Linked DNA regions of Notamacropus eugenii. The protein of the gene in region 2 purifies or fractionates together with the protein of the main gene of each other region. This does not show direct contact. Links are inferred from orthologs where the notes say so. Each region holds a gene or a part of one and is shown on either strand. Other genes may lie near its edges.

Region 1 (8,096 bases), on a different chromosome or scaffold from region 2:
TATATACATATACACACATATACATATGTATGCATAGATGTACATCTTTTAGCACAGGAAGAAGATGCTGTGGAATCACCACTTCAGAATAACCGATACAATGAGCATTTCAAAAAGGACAAATTTCAGATCCTCAGACTTTAGTGTGAGCCCTCAAAGGTTGGCTATTTCTTTGACAGTTTTCTGCCTATCCAAATCACATTGATATGCTGAGTTGGGGTAGAAATCATACTGGCATTTCTGGTTCTGCCTGTTGCTTGATAGTTCAAAACTACTGCCAGGGCATCATTTCTTGTAATATTTTGACACTTTTGCAGCTGCAGACACTCATTAGAATGAATTCCCCTCCCCCTGTCTAAAAAAGAAGTGTCTTTTAATCAAAGGTCTAGAAAGATACAATTGGATTTCTGAGAATAGACAGGAAAAAGGAATTTTTAACAAGAAGAGGGCTGATTGAGAAGACAGAGTGGGGATCAGGGGCTTTGGGCTGTGTCTACCTCATAGCAGCTAGTTGAGTTAAAAGAAGGAATTCACTAGTGTATCTGAATGCTGACCTGGGACAAAGGGAACACTTTTATTTCTAAATACTTGCTTTTGCTGCAGTGAAAAAGGCCTCTTTAGTACCTGTCTCTGGATTACTTCCAGGTCATTATTCTGCATTATCTTTTATATCATCAATAAACACTTCAGTGTTGACAAAGGAAGGTGACCTAAAATTTTGTTATGTCATGTACTACCATTTGTTTAGCCATTCCCCAACTGATGGGCGTCACTTTTTTCCAACTCTTTGCTACTACAAAAAATGTTATAAATATCTTGGCAAATGTAGGAACTTTTTTTTATATTTTTTATTTCTTTGGGGTATCTACTTAGCAGTGGGATCTTTGGATCAGAGTTTGGTCATATTAATCATTTCTTCGCATAATTCCAAATGATTTTCCAGAATGGTTATACCAATTCATAGCTCCATTAAATGTGTCAACGTCCCTGTCTTGCCTCAATCCCTCAAAGCAACTGGTCATTCTATCCAAGTCACTTTCACTTTGTTTGGAGAAAACAGCTGCATTTGTTTTTATATAGCTGTCATTACTGGATATACCCCCACCCCACTGCCAACTGAACCCTTACTTGCAATGAAGGAAAAGAGTTAAGTCCAAACAACTAATACAGTGAGCATGCCTGAAAAGACATTTTGAGCTCATATATTCCCACCTCTCTGTCAAGAGGAGGAAAGTATGTCTCATTATCTGTTCTCTTGGATGATTATTAACTTCTGCTTTAATAGAAATTAGTTTTCTTTGTTGAAAAAGGTAAGTAAAGATACTTTTCCTCGAACTTATCCACAAGTAGAAATATTGAGACAAAGTTCTATAGTCTCTTCTGCTTCTAAAAATTCAGTTAAATTCAACTTGTATTTATTAAGTGCCTCGAATATTTTATGTACTGTGCTAGACCCTGAAGATACACAGAAAAAAATGAAAATAATTCCTTCCCTCAGGGAACTTACATTCTTCTAGTGTCCCTAAACATACGAAAGACTAATGGTAGGCAAGTAGTTAGTAGATATACTAGAGATCTCTTTCCCTAAGATTAGCTTTATTTATAATTTGCCATTAATATTAAAAGTAGATATATATACTCTGAAGGTACTTATGGAATGAAAATCTAATTTTTGGAGAGAAAGAGAAAGAGAGAGAGAGAGAGATGGAAAAGCCAAGACAAACCAACCCACCACTGAGTAAATAGGAATACACTTTGAATTAAACCTACTTGTTTGTGTGACACAAAATAATTTTAAAGTGGAAAACACTACAACTCCATTAGAAGAATGCTTTCTTCTCCAGCTCAAAGTAGTTTCTAGTCTGCAAGGAAGAATGCATTTAGAGCAGTTCCCCAGAATAGAGAAGAGCTGTTAAAGCTTCTTTAAGCCAACTCAAACATTTTTAAAAGGACAAGGGGGGTGGGGGTGGGGGGGATGGTGAGAAAGCCATTGTTGATCATTCCCTGTTATATTCAGGAGTCTTCCCACATCCGCTGTCTGTAGCTCTCTGCTGGGCAAGAAGAAAACTGGACATAGGCCAGCCCATTATGCATTTACTTCTCTTGACCCTTGTGCTTGCGAAGTTTGGGATTGTCTTTCTGGAGAGGGATGTAGTCAGTCCCATAATCTACTCAATAGGTTCTCTCATAAATACCACCCTTTTGTGACTTTGGACACTTTACTTTGGACACAACTAGAAAACACATCATGACAGTCATAGCATCATAGGGACCAGCAACCATAAAAAAAATCTCTGCTCAGGCTCACCCCCAAATACATACTGTTAAATTGAGTTATATTTCAAGCTTAATCATTGCTTCCTGGCTTTTTGCTTTCAGTTAGTTCAACTTAGAAAGAAACACCAGGAAGACACCTACAATCATAAAAGCTGGCAAGTTCATGATGCAAACGGTGAAAATCCTTCTTAAATAGTTAGTATCTGAAGGCTTAGTGAGAAATAGTAGCAAGTCTCAGAGGGTGCCTTCCTGGCTGTTGTAATCCAGGAAGGTCTTCCTTCTGCAGCTGTCCTCCTTTTTTCCCTTATATTTTGATTTATTTTCTTGCTGTAACTACTTTACACACACACACACACACACACACACACACACACACACACACACACACACACACACACACACACACACACACACACACACACACACACACACACACACACACACACACACCCCTACCTGGATCATGATGACCTCTTCATCTGCTCTCAGGATGGGCTGGTCCAAAGGTACGGTACATAACTCATCCTCCAGGCAGGCCAGACTCACCGAACAGCCCATCAGAGCCCTCCAATCTCAGAGCAGCCTCAATCTGCTTGTGGTCTCTCCCCTCCAACTCAGGACACCAGAGTCTGAGCCCTCATCTCTGCCTTCTCCTGGCTGAACTCCTCCCAGGGCAGCTCTCCTAGCCTTCAGCCCCACTCAGCACACAGTTGCTCCAACCTGCCAGCCTCTCGTGACAGGCAGCATGGAAATACAAGCCTCAGCCTGCCAATGCTTAACCTTTAGGTTCCAGTTCCGTCTGGGCAGGTTGAAGCCCTTTGGAGCTGATGCTGTTTCTACCGATCTGTCAGCCTAGCCCCCCCCCCCCCCCCCCTCCTCTCCCTCTCCTAACCCTTTGTTATCAGAATCCCATGCTGACCACACTGTGCCCCCTCAAAGACTGAGACAACGCATAAGAAGGCCACTGTCTAAAGTCTCAGCTCCAGCTAGGGGGAAACTTAGCCTTTCCTCTCCTGGTGGGAGGGTTTGGGGATCACTGAATGGTATGGATACAATAATAAGGAAACTAATAATTTGGACGGCACTCTTTGGAGTAGGGTGGGGAGGGAGGGAGGGAGGCGGAGGCTGGGCTGCCTTTGCAGAAAGGACGAAAGAGCTATCCAGCAATCTGTCACTGAGGCACACTGATAATGCCCGCCTAATTCGAGAGCAAATAATGACTATTTGAAGCCAACTCAATCAGGATGACTTTGAAAGCCGAATTTCAGGAGTGGAAAGCATTTTGGAGGAATTTCCTGTTTCTTTGTGCTGTCATTCTGTGCCTGTAATCCCCCTTTGATTTTCATCCCCCCTCCTTCCACATAACTTAGCTTTCAGAGCTGCAAAATGATGCTGGAGACTAATGACTGTTTCAAAGGCATTATGGGGGACTGTTCATATTACAGCAGCTCCAGCTAGCAGCCAGTACCAGCCGACTTGAAGAGCCTGTTAGTTTTAGCTGTTCAAAATCCCTTCTTTGAAATCATTTGGGGGAAAAATTGGCTTTAAGCCGAACATTAGTGTTTAAGGTTTCAACTCTGCACAATTAATTTTCTGGGGAGAAGTGATGGGGACAGGGGAAGGGGGTTGGAATATACTTTTGAAAAAAAAAAAACCTTTCTAAGACAGTTGATACTTAATTATGCCTTCAGAAGTAAAAAAAAAATGCTTTTATCTTTGCACTTGGAGATTTGTAAGGTGACTAAATCATTAGTTAGACACATATTATGGAGCAAAACTTGTCACTTCCCTTAAGTGACATGAGCTAACTCTCTTCCCTCCTTGCCAAAAAGGGTTCAGAGACAGTGAGGGGTTTGAGTGGTCCTGCCACAAAACAGCGTGGTTTGGGTATTTGTTTTGTCTTTGGAAAAAGAAAACTCTTTGCCACCTGTATTCACAGCTTCCTCCTACTGCTAGAATTCCCTCCTTGGGGCTCCTTGCTTGACTGTGAGTGAACCACACAATTGTAAACGACCCTGCAGCTGGTTTAGGGATGATTTATACAGTGAAAGCAAAGCGGGCGCCCAACAAAGCAAGCAGCCCTGGTTACTTTAGCCTCAATGCTCCATTTACAGACATGGAAATCTCACAGAAGTTTTACTGCCAGGTCAGGCACTGCTGGAAGGAGGGCAAAGTCAGAGAGGCTGATTTGAAAAATGGTCCTAAGCCCGCGTTTTTAAAGTGTGAAGTTGGGAGAAATTAATGAAAACTTCTACACTCGAGTTTATTTACCATCCCTAATCTCCTCCATATAAGAAATGCACATATGCCATATGAATTTAGAAAAGCAAACAGCTCAGTAGAAAAGGACCAACTTTACATATTACAGTATGTTTTTATTGTTTATTTCAGTTTAGATAGGACAAAATAGACTTATTTTTTAAAAAAGAAAAATTAATGTCCCCAGTTAATCTTGTTCTATCTTTTTTAAAGAAAAGAAACTTCAGGTTTCTGCAGAAAATTAAAGGACCATATGAGATTTTTTTTTTACTATATATTTGATATCCCTGTTTCAAGACATAAGTCAAATTCCTCAGGATGGATGGTGAGGTTTCATGAAATGGAAATCTCACTGGCTCCTGACCACTCATTGAGAGGGCTCTACCCCTTTGGCAAACAATATGAATGAATTACACTTAGGTAGTAAACTGCTTATCCATGAGATGTGAATGAACTTGTTCAGGGCATCAGGGTATAATTTAGTAAATAACTTTTTCCTACTGCTCTAACAGCCAACAGTTTGCCCATTAATCCATCTAAGCTAGTGCACTTCACTACCAGAATACCTTAATCAGCTTTATTTTCTCTCCTCTAGAAAGGATCAAGTCAAATGGTAGTGGTGACGTCTTATACAAGATACCAGGTCTAGCATTCCAATGGGCTTACATTTTTAAGGGGAAAATGTATAACATCAAAAGGCTGCTCTTCTGAAATGATTTCCGGGTATACTGGACACTCAAACACTTTAAAGGATCTATGATGTTGTCAAGTTGGACATTCCTGCTAGTGGTGCAGGTAGCAAGCCATCCTTGTCTGTCCAGCCTGTTCCACTCTTGTCTATGTCTTGATAGGTGTCATCTATTTAAAGGAAACTGTTGAGCACATTCCACTCTGCTTCATAATTGGTCAGATAATCAGATCACCAACTAACTCTCATTTTCCATATCTGGGTCCACTTCCCAACTTAAATGGGGTCCTTCTCAGCATACAGAATGTTAGAAAAATCTAATGTATTATCCAATGACCTCCATAAGTGTGGTGAGAGTCTTCCTTGCTTTCCCTTGACTTTGTAATACCAATGGGGTTCATGGGCAGGCATATGGTTAGCCCTCACTTTTTGGCAATTGAAAAGTTCATCTTTTTTTCTCCTACATTTCTTGGACAATGTCCTTTCCTCTGCCTCTGCTTTGTAATTTCTTGTCTGGAACATGCTGTGATTTGTTCATTCTCTATTGTCTTTGGGTAATTCTCCATTTCAGTTCTTCAGAGACTGTAGGTTCTGTGATTCAAAACCATAGAAAGACACTGGAAGAATTATGACATTAAAACCGAGTTTTTGATTCAAGGGAGAAACTTGGGGTGGTTAAAAGGACTTGGATTGTCATCACCTTTTTTTTTTTTTTTCCTGAGAAGCTTCAGTGAAATGGAGTGAGAAAGAACTGTAGACTTTTGGAGATTGAAGAGTCCAGTACTGGCTTCACCTTTAGCTAGTTAGCTCTGTTACCCCAGGTTAAGACTCACTCTTTCTGGGCCTTTAGTTTCCCCACTGGGGAAACTGAGACATTGGTAAACTGAGGGGGATGGACTAGACTAGTTCAAACATCCTTTCTAGTATTAAAATTCTATGTTTTCTCACACATATGTAACTATATAACTATGCATATGAGAATATATAGCATATATGCACATTGGTGTGTACACATGTGGGTGCATAGTTGTTTACAAAGTATATTTCTCACAACAGTCCCATGAGATGGATAGTTCATGTATTAGTAGACCACAAGAAGGATTCATATTTTCTACAGTAGTAGTGTCAAATTTAAAAAGAAACTGGACCACTAAACCATGCATAAGGATCCTTAAGGGATGCATATTAACTTAGTTTTAAAATACAATATTATCTGTATTTTATTATATTTTTATCTATTTTGCTATGTATTTGCTTATTATATTTTTATCAGGTTTGGGTTACACTGGGAGCAGCATACCAACTGAGAAGGCTGCCTGCTTGACATTTCCATCCTATAGTGTGGGACCCCTCCCCTCAGTAGTTTATGATGTATCATAGTCCTTAGCAATGTGAGAAGTCCTAGGGAGATGTTTGAGATAAAAAGAGATTAAGTGGGCTGCCTTTGATCATATAGCTAAAAAGTGTCAGAGATGGATTTGGCACTCAGGTCTTCCTGACTCTAAATCTAGTCAGTCAGTCAGATTGTCAATCAGCAAACATTCATTAAGGACTTGTTATGTACCAGACACTGAGATAGGTGCTGGGAGTACAAAAGAAGACAAAAACATGGTCCCTGTCTTCAATGAGTCCAAATCCTGATAGATGAGACAGTAAGGAAACCACTGTGTAAAAACAAGATTTTGACTGGATAAATTGGAGATCATCTCCAAGAAAAAGTAGGGAGTGGGAGGAAAGAAGGGGAATAGGAAAGGCTTCCTGCAGAAGGAAGGGTTTGAGCTGAGTTTTGATGAGAACCAGGGAAGAAGGAGGTAAAGAGGGAGAACATTCCAAGCATGAGGGAGACAGGAATGAAGATAGGAACACTGTTTGAGCAGTAGTCAGGGTAGCTCTTGTTCAAATCTACCTCTACTGTGCAAAAAGGATGATTCCTATTTTATAGATGGGGATACCGAAGTTAAAAGTGGTTTGCTAACTTGCCCAAGGTCACACAGGTATTAAGTGGATTCAAACCTATATCTTCCTACTTCTGGTTCATAGCTCCACTATGCCAAAGTTGCCCTTCTCTGAATGACATGAATCATTTAGAAAGTGACCTATTTGCCACCATGAGCTTAAGAAAGTCAAGGATCTGAAATCCATATATATGGAGTGTTTGTGTGGCTCCTTAGGTTGATGTGGACTGTCCAGGTTTCTGATATCCTCCTCTAACTGAGGGATGATCTTCAACAATTTGTTAAAGCCCAAAGACCACTTTCTACCTTTGTTCAGTGTGATTAAGAACTAGGATTTTTCCAAATAAGAAGAAGGGAGCCCTTTCCCCAACAGTCAATACAAATTGTAGTCTTTTTCAGTCACCAATGCATATGAGATACCATCTTACTAAGGTTATATATTTAAAATAAGCTGGAGGAAAGAAACTATTTCTTATTGAACAATATGTGTAAGTTTGTGTTGTTTTGAGCTCTTCTTGTTACATAATTATTTTCTAAGCCTTTACTTTCATACTTGGAAGACTATTTCATTTGCACTACTCAAGTTTCTTTCCCCTCTTAGGATGAATGGAAAACAAATTACTTTAATCCTTGTTACCATCTCACCTTACACTCCACCTCCAACTCCTAAAGATGCACCCTCCAACATCTCAGCCCAAGGCCCCCAAGAAGCGAAAGACAATGAAATAGGACTGTTCGTGCAAATAAAACAAAATTCTAGACTTAAAAAACAGACCCAAAAGCTAAGAGTTTACACATTGATGAAATTACTTGAGTGTATCTGAATTGAGGACAAATAGATTCTTGGAGGGACCAGAGAGGGAGAGAAGAGAGAAGGAGAGAGGGGGAGAGAGAGGGAGAGAGAGAGAGAGAGAGAA
Region 2 (8,070 bases):
AAGGAGGGGTAGGAACACAGTTTTATGGAGGCTTCCAGCCATTATTTTGAAAGATGAGGAAGGGGAGGAGAGTCATACGGAATACTCACAAGAACTGGGAGTGAGGGATTTAAATGACTTTGAGCTTGGATACTGGACTCTCCCCAACTCTCCTTTGAGGGAGAAAGTGTGGCTGGAACCAGCTCGTGGGAATCAGCCTCCAAGGAAGGCAAAGGCTGACCCTTGGCTCTGTGCTAAAGGAACCGAGTCTGGACACCTCTAAACTATGCCTCAATAATGTTTCTTCTTCCTGCGACACACACCAGAGATGAGGTCAAAAAGCTTTTAAGAGATAGGTGCCCCACATCCCTTTCCCCCCCACTACCCCAATTCTCTCCTTAGAGACAGTTTCCTTGCCAAGGAAATTTCCAAGTGTTTCTCTGACTCTGCTATCAGACCCTGGAATTCAGGTACTCTGAGGTGGTCATGGCAATGGTACAAGGCAGTATGCCTCTGGGGGTAGAAGCCACCTTAGTGACCAATCAGGCATAAAGATGACATTCAGCTAGAAAGTTAGGATCTCCCCCCGTTCCCTGCCAAGTTTCCTGGCTCCCCTTACCATCCCAAATCAAAGAGAAAGGAGGAAGATGAAATGTGGGGCTTCTGAACATATGAGTCCCTAGTTAGCCACATCACCCTTCCTGTTCTGCTAGTTACCTTCTGTATCCCTGAACATGAAGAATTCTTACCCAGCACAACCAGGTCTATGGGTAACTCATATGGGCAAAGCTCTCTCCAAGGAAAGCCAAGGACACCAAGTTACCTCAGTAGTTACCACCTCCCTCCAAAAAAAAAAAAAAATCAAAAGCTCTAATCACTCCCCACTCCACACATTAAATTTTAATCATAGCTGACAGGATGGTTGCTTTGAAGATAGAAAGACAAGGTCTGAGTCCCCAAAGCAGCTGAGACTTCAGAGCCCAGGACCCCAATAAGAGGAAGCAAGCCTGGGGGAGGGATGCCCCAGGGCCAGTACCCCACTCTGAGCCATAAACCTGCCAGCTGGGTACTTTCTCCAAACCTCTCTTCTCCAGATGCCTAGATCTGCAGCCCAGCTGAGCACATGTTAAGCCTCTCAGGGCCTGGCTCAGTCTGTCTTGGCTACCGCCTGCTCAAGGAACAGTTTTGGTTTCTATTAGTTGCTCCACCTCTCCCAGTGTCAGGAAGTAATTTAATGTGTGACTATGGCCGAGTCACTTCTGGGCCTCGGTTTCCTCATCTGTAAAATGAGGAACAAGGACTAGACTACCTCTAAATAAACTTGTTTCCAGTTTTAAATTCTATGACCCTAACTTTGGGCAAACCCCTTTTCTTTTCCATGCCTCACTTTGCCCCAAAGTAAAATAAAAGAGATTGGTCTAAATGTTCTCTAGGTTCCTTTTGCCTTAATTCGATGACTCCAATCCTGGATGTCTAACACAGGCCTAGGTGTCCAGGCAGAGTGGGGCGGGGAAGGGGAAAGATGCAATTCACATGTGCAAGACCAGCTCCCTCTAGGTGGTACAGGGGGCTTTGTTTCCAAGGCTGCTCTCCCTGGCTACCCAAGGATGCAATCTGGGGATGGCGGGCTAGAAGGAGCAGTCCCATCCAGAGAGGGTATTTCAACCTCTTCAGTGGGAGTCAAATCGAGGAAACTAATCCTCCGAAATCCTGTCCTGGGTACAAGTAGCCCAAAGTCGGGTGTCTGAGCCTGAGTCCTAAAGCATGGGTTGGGGAACCAGGAGCATTGTGCACAGGCCGGCGTGAGCAGCCCTGTTGTCAGGCTTCAGGCTCCGTCAGCAGGTTGCACGGTTACAGCGTAGAGGGTGGGAATGGGGGTGGGGTGGGGGGGAGAATGGAAGGGGAGGAGAAGATAGAGCTTGGGGCAGTGCTGGCAAACCCCCAGAGACAATGAAATGGCTTCTCTTTCCACACACCCCCACCTTGGTCCAGTCTGACCCCACCCCATGTTGGAAGCTTAATTCCTCCTCCATCAGCCACATGCCCGTCCTGCACAGTCCCACTAAGGGAAGGCTGGCATTATCCTGGGTCCCCGCCCCATCCTTGCCCCTCCAAAGCCGGGACTGAGGCTCCGAGCTCTTGGGTGGAGGAAGATAAAGGGCTGGCGAGGATTTAGTCAGAACCTCTTAAGGAGTGGAGTTTTTTCCAGTCCCCCACGCAGACCCCACTCGAACCCCCCGGTAGGCCCCGGGGCGGTGAGGACCCACCAACTTGGCACTGGGCTCGCCTGCCCCACGGGCCCGGGACCCATCTCGGAGGACGGCTTATTGCCCGGGTCTACACCGTGACAGCAACTCCCGGGAGAATTCAAACCCGTCGGAGCTCGGGTGGGGGAGGGGAGCGGCCGCGGGGAGGGCGGGAGCCGGCCAAGGACCAGTAGGTTCCGGGGCTGGCGATCTCCACCCAGCTCGGGCCGCCGCGGCCAGGGCCCCGAACGCCGGGCACTCACTCACCTCTCTCCGAGCGCTGCGGTCCGATCCACTTAGCCGCCGGCGACATCAGTGGGCTGCGGGACAGTCCATGTGGCCGGGGGCTGGGTGGAGGCGGGGGGCGGGGGGGCGCCCTGGTGGGAGGGGTCCAAAGGAGCGGGGGGAGGGGGGAGGAGAGAAGGAGCGGGAAGAGGGCAGCGAGAGGCTGGGCCGGGGAGCACCGCTCGGCCCGGGTCGGGGAGGGAGGAGGAAACAATGTAGCCGCCGCGGCCCCGGGAGAGTTCCGCTTCCGAACGCCGCCGCCGAGCCTTGAGGTGGGGACGTAGCGCGGGCCGCCTGGGCAGCCCAGACACGCGACGTTTGGCTCTGGAGCGGGGCGGGCCCCGGCGTCCCAGCCCCCCCGGCACCGGCGGCCCGGGCTGGAAGCGGGCTGGACGGAGGAACGGACCCGACGGCTCCCGGCCGGACTGGAGGCCGGCGGCGGCTGCCCCCACCCCGGGAGCGCGGCGGGAGGGGCGGGGCGGGGCGGGGCGGGGAGGGGGGGGAAGACTGGCGGCGCGCGCGCGCGTCCTCTGCTGCGGGGGCCGCCCCCTCCCCAGGCCCTCTCCGGCTCAGCTGGAAGGAAGCTCGCAGGCCTGGCCGGAGGAAGCGGAGCCTGGATCCATCCGCCTGTAGCAGCGCGCCTGCGCCAAATGGGCTGGACCCGCTCGCGGACCGGGCGCGAGCGGGGAGGCTGCGCCACCTACTGGAGGCCACGGGCATCGCATGGGGGTGTGTCCAGGTCCCCGCGTCCCGAGCCTCACATCTTGGCCGCCGACCCAATGGCAGCCGGACGCCTGAAGTCGGGGGTCGCTCATCCCGGCAGGTGGGCGCGGAGTTGGAAGCCCGAGACAGTGACCCGCTCGCCGCCCTTCGCCTGCAAAGTGGTGAGTGGGCACCGGTGGGCGCAGTCCAGACGGCTCCCTCAGAACTCCGGGCCGGCCGGGGGCAGGGCGGGGAGCTCTTCGTCACTTTGTGATCAGTGCGAGCGCACGGCCTGACGGCACCCCGGGACAGGACTGGAATAGCCCGAGGATCAAGGTCTAGAGGTCAAGTGTACATGGTCAGAGCCCTTACTGGTGTAACCGAGTGTGTGTGTGTGTGTGTGTGTGTGTGTGTGTGTGTGTGTGTGTGTGTGAGTGTGTGTGCACGCGCGTGCTCTGTGTGTGTGTGTGTGTGTCTGTGTGTGTGTGCGTGCGCTGTGAGTGTGTGTGTGTGCTGTGTATGTGAGTGTGAGTGTGTGCGTGCTGTGTGTGTGAGAGTGAGTTCGAGTGTGTGTGTGTCTGCTGTGTGCCAGTACCGTGCTAAGCCTGGCAGGGTAAAGGAAGGTAGAAGACAGCTCCTTCTTTCAAGGGACTCACAGGCTTCACTGCCAAACTAAGCGGTCTGTGGTGGGTGGTCCGGTGGAAGGGACACTAGCTTTGTGCCCAAACCAGGAGCAATGAGGAGTTGTTAGAAAGAAGAGAAGCTTCTCCCCAACGATTAGAGCAATTAAGAAGCAAAATGGGCAGCCTTGGGGAGAGGGCAGTTGATTTCCCCTCACTGGGGTGTCTTCAAGCAGAGGCTGGCTGACCATTTGTCCAGTATGTCCTAGAAAAGATTCTCCTTCAGGGGTGAATTTCTCTAGATGACTCCCAAACCTCCACACCCTAAGATTCTCTGGTTCACTTGGGGGAAAGGAGATTCACACACTTGTAACAGACTAGACAGGATAAGTTGGCCATAATCATGGAAGGGATTGTGCAAAGATTGAGGATCCTTAAGAGAGGCTTCTTGCTGAAGGTAGGACTTTAGTTGAGACTTGAAGGAAGCCAGGGGTAGCCACAAAGAACTAGATACCCTGGATCCCTAGAAAGGTCAGAGTGAACAGGAATGGTACAATATGTTTGGAGGAGGATTTATTTACACCCAGTGTAAATAAACTTAAGGGTTCTTGGAGGGATGGGTTCCCTGGCCTTTAATAAGCTGTAGGGTCACCAGACTTTATGGAGAGAAAAGGGGTCTTCTCCTTTCTCCCCCATAGTCTGGAGGAAGGTAGCCCTACCATTTTCTCGACCCACAGTTTAAGAAATGCTGAAGGGGTCAAGAGTGGAAAAAGTTTAAGAAGCCCTGATCTAGAAGACTTTTTCCCTGCCTGCTCTTAAGAAGACATCTTGGGACAGCTAGGTGACCCAGTGGATAGAGCATTGGCCTTGGAGTCAGGAGGACTCAAACTTACCAGCTGTGTGACCCTGGCCAAGTCACTTAACCCCAATTGGCTCAAAAAAAGTTTTAAAATAATGACAGCTTAGAGACTCCAGGAGTCAAGATGGACATCAACCCTGCCCTTCAAACTGTTGTCATAGTAACCATCCTTTTATGTAGATTTGAGGAGTTACTCCCTTTTTCTAAAACCTTTGGCTCTTTGTCACCACAGTCTCCTGTTTCCATCCTACCTTTCTAGACTGATTTTCTCAATATTCTCTTTCACACATTCTCCTTTCTCAACAAACTGATGATTAGCTCTGATTTTGGTCCTGCTGTTTCCTGATTTAGTGCAGGCTAATTGGAACCTCCCTGCCTCTTTCTTCAAGGCTCAGCTCAGGGGCTTCCTCTGCCAGGAGGCCCTTCTGTATTTCCCCTCAACTAAAGGTGATCTCAAACTTCAGATTTTCCTAAAGCACTTGGTCTGAATTTTGCCTTGGTCCCACTCACTTTCTGTTGTTTTCTTTTGGCAGGGTCAGGGTAGGGAGGCAATTGGAGTTAAGTGACTTGCCCAGGGTCACACAGCTAATAAGTGTCAAGTGTCTGAGGCTGGATTTGAACTTGGGTCCTCCTGACTCAACTACCCACTGGGCCACTTAGCTGCCCTGTGCCATTCACATTCTGTCTTTGTGTTATTCTCCTTTACCTACCTGGTGCATTTCATAGATTACAAACTCTGAATTTGTTGGGATCATTTTTCATCTTTATTTTGCCAGCACTGAGCACAGTGCTTTGTACTAGTCAGTGAACAAGTCTTTATTAAGGGTACCCGATGTGCCTGGCACTGTGTTAGGGTGTTGGGGATAGAAAGACAAAGGATGAAACCATCCCTTCTTTCAAGTACCTTCCACATTCTAATTGGAGAGAAAACAAGTATGTGTTTATACATATACAAATCTGTATCTACCTGTATATATAGGATAAATATGAAGATAATCAATGAAAGCAAAGTTAAATAACCATAAAGGCCTTCAAAAACCCCAACAGCAATCCCAACAACAGGTAGTGAGTCTTCTGACATTTCCTTGGTATTCCCAGCAACATCCCAGAATAGGATCTACATCAGGGCTTCTTAGACTTTTCCCACAATCAACCCCTTCAGCATTTCTTAGTCTGTGGGATGAGAATTAGAACCAGGATAGAATCATAGAGCTACAGTTCCAAAGACCCTTAGAAGCACAACTCCTTTACTTACAGCTGGGGAAACTGAGGCTGGGAGATTATGACTTTCCTCAAATTACCCAGGTAGTAAGGAACAGAGCCACAACATTGTGCTGTACCCCACTGAGCCTCAGAGGTCTTTTAATCCTGCATTTTGGAGATGAGGAGTTCCCAAATGAATTGCTCAAGGTCAAGCAGCTCTCTAGTAACCTGGTTATCAGCAGTTGAACTGAAATTTCGATCTTTAAAGTAGAAGTGAAGCAGGAAACTGGACCCCAAGGAATCCTTGCATTTCCTCAGCAAAGGATTCTGAGTAACAGGAGGAAAGAATATTCACCAAAGCCACCTGTCTCCTGGATTCCTTACGGTGGGGTTAGCACTGAGGCCCTGGGATTGATGGGGGAAGACCTAGTCTGAGAGAGACTACCAACCGATATTGGGGGAGGGGAAGGGGAAAAGAAAGGGGTAGAGAGAGGGGGGAGAGGAAAGGAAAAGGGAGGGAGGGGGAGAGAAATGGAGGGAGAAGAGAAGAGTGAAACACTCTAAATACTAGGTGAAAGGAATAGATATGGAAGATGATAGACAAATGTCCTTCAAGAGTACTGAATTCTCATAGAAGAATTATAGCTAATGGTTTCTCCCATTAGCTATAATTCTTTTATGCAACATGACTAATGTGAAAATGTGTTTAATGGGAACGTATGTGTAGAGCCCATATATGATTGCATGCTGTCTTGGGGAGGGAGGGGGAGAAAAATTTTAAACTTATGGAAATGAATGTTGAAAACTGAAAACAAATAAATTAATAAATTTTGGGGGGAAAAAGAGTTCTGAATTCTCCCCTCTCCTGGGCTCCAAACAAAACTAGCCTTGGCCAATCCAGGGAGGGCCCAGCACTGTGCCTAGTTTATATTCCCTGGCTCACTGTCCCTGTCCCTCTTCCACAAAGTAGCCACTGGGCACCCGAGCTGATGCTAATTTGTCAGAAAATAATAATGAGTCAGAGCAGAGTTAGAGGACGGTTTTCAACACTGTGTGACCCTGGGTGAGTCACTTTAACCTTTCTGTGGCTCAGTTTCCCTTTCTGGAAATTGAAGGTAATGCTGCTGCTTTCCTCATGGTGTTGCTATAAAGGAAGTACCATATAAATGTTGGCTATATGAATGTGAACTATTTCTTATCCTCCTGCCTTGTTATAATGGCAGTGCCTTTTCCATCTCTTTTTCGTTTTTTCATTTTCTGTTTGGGGGCTCGTTCATTCTTGACATTTGTCTCCCCAGGGCCAAGCACATGGGAAGTCCTTAATAAAGCCTTGCTGACTGATTTCAGATGTACATGGTGTGTCACACTTTATTTTTCTATTTTTTATTGAAAACTTTTAATGAACAAAAATCCACTCCTCCCTGACAGAAAACAAAGGCAAAACTTTTGTCACAGATGTGCGTAATCAAGCAAAAGAAATTCCTACTTTGTCCAAAAAATAGATGTTGCCATTTGCGACCAGAATCCATTCCCCACTCCCATGCCCTCCAAAGGTGGTAGCTTGGTTGGTCTCCTGAAACGTGGTCGATCGTTGTGGTGTTCACAGTTTTTAGGGCTTTCATGGTTGTCGCTCACTCTGTGTCTCAGTTCATACAGGTCTTTTTTGTACTTTCCAGATTTATTAAGTGCCTACTAATCACCAGGCACCATGCTAAGCACTGGAGAGACAAAGAAAGGTAAAAGACAGTGTCTGCTCTCAAGGACAAATTGGATATTATCGACAGGGAAGGCCCTGGATTAAAGGGAGAGGAGAAGTCTGAAAAGTCTTCCTGTGGAAAGTGGGATTTTTATCTGGTACTTAAAAGAAGCTAGGAGACATAGATTGTTGGGAGATGGAATGTCTTGTTCTGGACCAAAAAGGAGGCCACTGTCACTGGATCTCAGAGAGAGAGAGAGAAAGGGACAGAGAGAGAGAGGAGGAGAGAGAGAGAGAGAGAGAGAGACAAAGGGAGAGAATGAATATGTGTGTGAGTGTGAGAGAGAGAGAGAGAAAAGGAGAGAATGAATATGAGTGTGTGTGTGTGTGTGTGTGTGTGTGTGTGTGTGTGTGTGTGTGTGTGTGTGTGTTGACAAAAAGGTATTGCAGGGGTTGGGGAGAGGGCTGGTGAATTTTATA

The links. The genes of interacting proteins can lie anywhere in the genome.
Region 1: the proteins of CSK (region 2) and TNS3 purify together in Homo sapiens (affinity purification with mass spectrometry; 4 studies listed by BioGRID and IntAct, with this or other methods). This does not show direct contact. The link is inferred for Notamacropus eugenii from reciprocal best matches to the Homo sapiens genes CSK and TNS3.

Annotation. Positions count from the first base shown.
Region 1 is NC_092874.1:409,896,735-409,904,830, forward strand, and holds the start of TNS3 (tensin-3), read right to left. Parts: upstream 3,036-8,096; 5' UTR 2,836-3,035; coding exon 2,734-2,835; intron 1-2,733. UniProt on the Homo sapiens protein: May act as a protein phosphatase and/or a lipid phosphatase. Involved in the dissociation of the integrin-tensin-actin complex. EGF activates TNS4 and down-regulates TNS3 which results in capping the tail of ITGB1.
Region 2 is NC_092872.1:241,312,015-241,320,084, forward strand, and holds the start of CSK (tyrosine-protein kinase CSK), read right to left. Parts: upstream 3,082-8,070; 5' UTR 2,493-3,081; intron 290-2,492; 5' UTR 90-289; intron 1-89. UniProt on the Homo sapiens protein: Non-receptor tyrosine-protein kinase that plays an important role in the regulation of cell growth, differentiation, migration and immune response.